2 linked regions of the Drosophila melanogaster genome follow. The protein of the gene in region 2 interacts with the protein of the main gene of each other region in a pairwise test. Each region holds a gene or a part of one and is shown on either strand. Other genes may lie near its edges.

Region 1 (4,120 bases), 240 kb from region 2:
TTTAAGCCCGCTTTCAAGGCAAGTGGCTTTGCGCAAGCAGCAATCGCCACAGGAAATTATCTTACAATTTCTTTGTCAATTTGTTGCCCGTGAAAAAGTGGATACTTGCGGCAGTGCTGCCGATTCAGCTTTATTCCCGTCAGATCTGGCTTAGTCGCAGGATAGTGCTGCGCATGGCGGGAAGATAAGAACATAAACGTCTGTTTTTTAATTAGTCAGCATTTTCTTAAATATCCAAACGCACTTTATTTGAGTTATATTTTTACACTCTTTACTATACTGTTAAGTTAAGCTTATTGTATCTAAAGGTGCTATGTTCATGATATCCAAAATCCATGTAGCCATAAACAGCTTTTATCTTTTATTAAAAAACGGCAGCACCGATTATGTACGCTGCGCTGCCAACTCGCTTTAAAAAAGAGTAGCGAGTAGCCAGTGTTGCAAAGCACGTTAAGCAAGGGTCTGCTTTTTGGCGCCGTTACGGGTTTTGAAACTATATTTAAATTTATAAGTTCATAAATATAATATATAATAGCACAAACTTTATTATAAAAATCGGGGTATGCTGAAAATAACTAAAGCGGTGCAAATTGCTTTAGTTTGGTAGAATATATTATTAAGTAATTTAAACAATTGTATTTATTTACAATTTATAAACAATTTGTTTTTTATTTTTTGTAAACAAAGGGCTTGGCGGTGTTGTAGGCCAGGGAATACCTTATGTGCTTGCCAACCAATCGATCGGCTAAAGGTATTAAAGCCGGTTCACGTCTGTAAATCCCTGCCGCCTTTGGTGTCCAGGCCCGTAGACGACACTCCGAGTGGCCCGGCAGCAGGATTCCCATCCAGCCCGCAGAGCTGAGCGTAATATCACAGTTAAGCCTCGTTTCCTCGTTCCTTCCTTCACTTGCCAGCACAATATCCCCATCCTTGCATTGCAATCCCGGCCAGCGTCGCAGGCGGGCCTCCAAGTTCTCGCTAGCGAAGGGAACACCCAGAAAGGGCGAACCCACGTATCTTTTGTACACGCTTTCCGCCTCCTGTGTATCTGCTATCATGATGGGAAGATGCTCTGAGGCAAATACAAACACCTTCAGCCAGTCAAAGTGTTTCCTTGGGCTTGTTATTTCCAGCAGATCCAATCTGGCCAAACCGCCCAGTAGTATGCTCATCTGGGGCCGCAGCCGAAAGGCGCGCGGTCGGATCATGGTGGCGGGCTGCAGCTTTACCAGCTCCTCGGCGGTGAGCAGGGGAGATATTTGGTCGGGTTGCATCACACCCGGTGTGTCGTAGACCCAACGCGCTTCCTTGTACTCCTTGCCCCGATCGTTTAGCGTTGTAATCGGTCGCGAGCCACCGGCCATGGCAAAGGCATCATGGAGATTTTCGCGTCGATCGAAGGTGCGTCCAACCGGAGCCACTGGTTGAGCAGCTGCCGCTGAACCCGTTTCCCTTGCCACTGCGCGACGCTCCTTTTCCATTTCCGCCTTCTCGCTGCGCTCCGAAACCAATCTCTTAAAGCGCTGATAGACTCGATCGTTCGATGGACGCAAGATTGGAAACCGCAGCAGTTTGAGTGTGGTGCCCGGCCACGGACAGGTGGTGGCCTTGCGCACCAGGTCACTGGCCTCCGGCCGGCAGTAGTCCGAGTTAAGCAGAATGTTGAACAGCGAGCTCTTGCCCACATTGGTGCAGCCCACCAGATAGACATCGCCTTTGTAGGCCCACGTTTTGTGCAGCTGCGTTATTAGCTCCTCGATGCCATAGCCCGTTTTGGCGGATATCAAACTGACATTCTTGATATTTAGACCATTTCCACCGCCATGCTTGATGAACTCGCGCTGCAGAGAATCCTTAATATGCTGAAGATAGATGTTGGAGTCGCGCGGCAGCAGATCGACCTTGTTGCCCACCAGGAAGACGGGTCGCTTTGCGCCCAATATGTTTTGCATGCCCGGCCAAATGGAGCAGGGAAAATCGAGAAGGTCCACCAGAACAATAGCCAGTGCAAATTTGTCTTGAATGCGGGATATGGTGTCCACATAGGTCGATGGGGCCACCACCACATCCAATGCGATGTTGTAGTGGTTCAGAAAGTGACAACGCTTGCAGGTGATCGTTTGCAGTTCCTGCTGCGTCCTATCCCTGAATATTTCACTTGGTATATAGCCTGGCAGGGAGGCATTCGTGCAATGAAGGTCTGCGCCGCAGCCGTTGCATGGAACCTTTGAGGCGGGTAACGAAGGATCCGGTGTGCCCTGCTTATTCCCTCCCTCCTGGGCGCCCTGATAGAACTCGTAGTCGTCCATCCAGTCGTCGGGCAAATGCTGTTGTGTCTCAGGAATCGAGAAAGAGGGTTTTATTTTGGTCTCCAGAACAGAGCTGTAATGAACGTGCTCATGATCCTTGTACCGCTCTCTGGCGAGCAGCCACGCCCTCTGCCGAAAGCTCTGTCCCACTTCAGCGGCGGTATTCTGCCGCCTCGAACATGTGATAACCACATTTTTATTTATAATTTTATATAAACGTGTGGTTTTAAACATTTTGCAATGCCCACAAGAATTCTCACAGTGTCAGACTAAAGCCGTTTGCTACGAAACCATTTACATAGTCAGGGCTGCTAGCCGATAGATCTGAACGATTGTTATATTATTTGGCGTACAAAATAACAAGCATCAATTCAAGCAATGCTTTTTGTGTTATAAATCGAATAAAAGATATTTCAGTACATTAATTTGTGTTCATTAACTGGAAAAAAACAAAACGCATCGAAATTAGGCCGATTCATATCGAACAATCACGAGTGTATCGAAAATCGAAATCGGTGAAAGAGAAAAAAGAAAGCAGCGTTAGCGAGAAAGCAGAGGTGAGTTAAGTGCGGGACAAAAAAAAAGCGTGTATGTATTAAAATTGAAACAAAAAGATATAGAAAAAGCGTGTCCACGGCGCAATTAGCGTGCTCCTGCGGCGGTCGGCAGGCGATATACGCATTGGTAAAAGTACAGAGTACACGCCGAGTAAAAAGCAGCAGCGCACAACAAATAAAATGATTAGGAAAGTGTGTGGAAAAAAGACAAGTGTATGTGAACGGCGATTGTATGTGTGCGTGACGTGACTGTATGCGTGCTGCTGCTGCGTGTATATGAAATAAAAAGTAACGCGAAGCGCGACCTAATTTTAACCAAATATTACAATAATATTTGCATAAACAAAGGCGGCTCGGTTAATGTGACGCCAGGCATTTTGGTGGTTCCTGCGGCTTTCCACGAACGTTTGCCGACGCCATTGTCTGACCAAAAACAAAAGAAAAGAATTGAAATAGAATAAATCTCAGACGAGCACACTATTCCGTCGAGTGTAGAGTTCTTCCCGATTGAGTAATGCAATAACAACAAACGGAGCTGCTCAAATTGTTGAGAGTGTTGCAACTTTCGTTGGAACTCGTTTTGAACCGTTGTTGTTGTTGTTGTTGTTGATTTTGTCGCTCGCATCGCTCACTCACTTACTCACCGACTCACTCGCTCCTTTCCATTCTCCTGATGTTACCAAAACTGGTCTTCAAGAAGCAACAATGCAGTTTCTTGACGGGGAAGGGGAAAAATCAATAGTTCGGAAATTAGACAACTTTCAACATCCATGATTCAACGAAATGCACTCAGCCTAGAAGAAGCTACCGATAACCCCGGGCGCAAGAGCAAGCGAGATAGTTGCCGCCGCCTACCCACACTCGCACACAGCCACACACTTACACTTATGCAGCTGAATTTCCAGCGATGTCTGCTCTGCCTTTTAAGTTGTTGTTGTTGTAATGTAATTGCGAAATCATAACGGCAGTTGAAAGTTGAGAGCGCTTAGCGAAAGAGAACGAGGGACACAGAGAGCGTGAGACTAAAGTTTAAGCTCTGGCGGCAAACTATATGCCCTGCTCTCCCCCGCCCACGCAGAAACATACAGCCGGCTGCCAGTGTAGCGCATATGAGAGTCGCATCAACAACAACGCTATTTCCTCAAGAAGAAAAACACATGTTGGCCGCACAGTGGGATGGAGTGGGAGTGAAATTAAGACAAAGTCACTGAATGGAAGTGCGAATGGTGCCGCCATCTTGGTTCTTTTTTGGTC
Region 2 (3,287 bases):
ACGCTAGATAGTAATTTATATACAACATAAAAAAAATGTTCGCCATCAAGGACATTTACCGGCCAAGAGCACTTAGATGGCTACAAAGTCTTCAGTTAACTCAGAACAGTATATAGTGAGCCTATACACTGGGAAAAAAAGAAGATTATTCAAACATAATATACATTTTAAATCATTTTGCCAGCAGCGTAAGTTTTAATACATCATATTAAATACCATTTAACATACAATTTTACTTTGGGCAATGCTCTCTTTTCGATGCGACAATGGCTTCCGCATCACTGTTTTCCAGCTCCGCTCTTGATGTCCTCAAAGGCCTTTTGCCACAGCTTGTCAAACTGCTTGGGCAGCTTGGAGCGAATCTTATCGGCCAACAAGCGGGCTCCTCTCAAGTTGTCCTCCTCATAGAAGGGCAATGCGGAGATACGTGCCAACCAGGCGGATAATTTGGGGTATTTGGTCGCATCCACGGGACAGTAGCTCAGGTGCAGAGTGCTCACGGTGGCCACAATGCTAAAATCGGCGATGGTCAGCTGAGGACCGGCCACATAGGGATTCTCCGCCAGAAATTGCTCCAGCAAGGCGTAGGCATCCTTCAACTCAGCCAAACGATCCTTGGGCACCTCAGTGGCATTCTCTTTGAACAGAGCTCTCTGCAATTGCTTGAAGATGCCGTGAAAAAGGACACCGGTCTCGAAATGCAGCCGCTGATCCACCACAGCTCGCTTCAGCGGATCCTTTGGATAGAGCTCATCCGACTGGGCGTACTTGTTCACCAGATAGCCGATGATGGCGTGTGAGTCCCAAATGCATGACTCACCATCCTCCAGCATGGGTACCGTGTGCTGGGGATTCTTGCGTAACATATCCGGCTTCAGATGATCGCCGGCCTGCATGTCCAGCGTATGGAATTCATGGTCCAGCTGGAGGGCACGAAGGGTCAACAAAACGGCACGGACCGGCGGACTGGACTCAGTGCCATATAGAATCAGGTTAGCCATTGTGGTTGCTTAACTAATTGCCTTCTAGCTGGTTGAATTGAGATTCGTAGCAGACAGTGTGCCATCCACAACTGACTCAAGGCAGTCTAAATAATTTAAATTTCTTTCAAACGCGATAAGATTAGATATTAAACTTAGTTTCTTGATAATTACCACAAAGACGTCATAATGCTGCAAGTTTAAGTTTGCCTGATTGTTTATTAATGTCCGGGATAAGTCGGTCTGCTATCTATTAGCTGTGTCAATATTTGATCAATGTCCCCGTGATTTATTTGATCATAGTTGGAGCACCAAAGGGGCTACTTATATACACTGCTAGAAACGTCCAAACGAAACCTAAAGTAACCAGACTCATTAGCAGTGTTTCTATGCAAACATTTTCATATAAATATAATTATAAAATTATGAGTTTAATATTATTACTTCTGTGTATCAGATCATACAATTTTATCCAAAATAACGATAAGCTTTATGCCAGCTTAACTTAAGCTTTAAGCTTTTAGAAACTTTCAAGCTTCGTTAGGAAGACTTGAATTGTAAATTTACATGGGTTCTACATGATTCAAATAGATGTATATTACAATAAATCATAAAACAAGTAACTGTATTAAATTAATTTCTTCTGACAACCAATGTTCCTGAGTTCACAGAGACCTACTTTGTTTTTGATGAGTATATGTTTTTTGTAGTTCACCACTGCATATGGTGTTTTAAAATTAGTATCATATAGATGATTCCAGAACTATCAGTTGGGGGTAATTAATGTTTGTTATGATGAAATAGGCATACATATTATATATATGGTTTTTTTTTAACTGTTTAACACATGGTTTCGAGCTTTTATCTTAGATTTACGAAATGCTCTCTCATTTAGCAAAAAGCTTGAGGCAATAAGGTGTGTATATATGTACAGTAAATAGAGAGATCAGTCGAAAGAAAAACACTGACGGGTAAACAACACGTATCATGTCGAGCTCTGGAATTGTACTCTATGGGACAGATCTCAGTCCCTGTGTGAGGACCGTCAAACTTACCCTAAAGGTCCTGAATCTGGACTACGAGTACAAGGAGGTGAATCTTCAGGCGGGCGAGCACCTGAGCGAGGAATATGTGAAGAAGAATCCCCAACACACGGTACCGATGCTCGATGATAATGGCACTTTCATCTGGGACTCCCATGCCATTGCCGCCTACTTGGTGGACAAGTATGCCAAGTCGGATGAGCTGTATCCCAAGGATCTGGCCAAGCGTGCGATCGTCAATCAGCGTCTCTTCTTCGATGCCAGTGTAATCTATGCCAGTATAGCCAATGTCAGCCGCCCGTTTTGGATAAACGGTGTTACCGAAGTGCCCCAGGAAAAACTGGACGCCGTACACCAGGGTCTGAAGCTGCTGGAGACGTTCCTGGGCAACAGCCCCTACCTGGCCGGCGATTCGCTAACCCTAGCCGATCTGTCCACCGGACCCACTGTAAGCGCCGTGCCCGCTGCCGTGGACATAGATCCTGCTACATATCCCAAGGTCACCGCCTGGTTGGATCGCCTCAATAAGCTGCCCTACTACAAGGAGATCAACGAAGCTCCGGCCCAGAGCTACGTCGCCTTCCTGCGCAGCAAGTGGACCAAGCTGGGCGACAAGTGAAACTAAACTTATATTTAAATATGACATTTCACAAGTTTGAATTCCATCAATTAACAACATACACATCCATTTCTAAAACGTAAACTTCTTCAATAAAATATAACATATATATAAAATATTTAATTTATTTTTTTATTTAATTTATATTTATTTAAATATTTGAATTTATAATAAATACTGAAATTTATAAACTTTAATATGGGACTTGAGTCAGTAATTATTATCTCACAGTTGGGGAACCCGACCGTAATATTTTTATCGCTCATTTATGATATCGTCAGTGTACAATTACAAAAGTTTATTTAAGATACAAATGGGGCAAGCTCAGCGCACCCAATTGGGTTGTTTAGTTAAGCTCGTTTAGATTTCTGTGTGTGGCAAATTTAGTGGAACTTGGGTCTCTCTGGTGATCGCATCATGTCGGATAAATTGGTTTTGTATGGCATGGATATTAGTCCTCCTGTTCGCGCTTGCAAGCTGACCTTGCGGGCCTTAAACTTGGACTACGAATACAAGGAAATGGATCTACTGGCAGGAGATCACTTTAAGGATGCGTTCCTCAAAAAGAACCCGCAGCACACCGTACCACTCCTCGAAGATAATGGTGCCCTTATCTGGGATTCACATGCTATTGTCTGCTACCTG

Evidence for each region. The genes of interacting proteins can lie anywhere in the genome.
Region 1: the proteins of GstE1 (region 2) and CG10914 interact in a two-hybrid assay, tested with the Drosophila melanogaster proteins (one large-scale study listed by BioGRID).

What each region holds. Positions count from the first base shown.
Region 1 is NT_033778.4:18,156,719-18,160,838, reverse strand, and holds CG10914 (uncharacterized protein), read right to left. Parts: upstream 2,583-4,120; 5' UTR 2,544-2,582; coding exon 669-2,543; 3' UTR 529-668; downstream 1-528.
Region 2 is NT_033778.4:18,396,465-18,399,751, forward strand, and holds GstE1 (glutathione S transferase E1), read left to right. Parts: upstream 1-1,928; 5' UTR 1,929-1,967; coding exon 1,968-2,642; 3' UTR 2,643-2,759; downstream 2,760-3,287. Other genes in the region: GstE10 (glutathione S transferase E10), read right to left, coding at 279-1,001; GstE2 (glutathione S transferase E2), read left to right, coding at 3,060-3,287.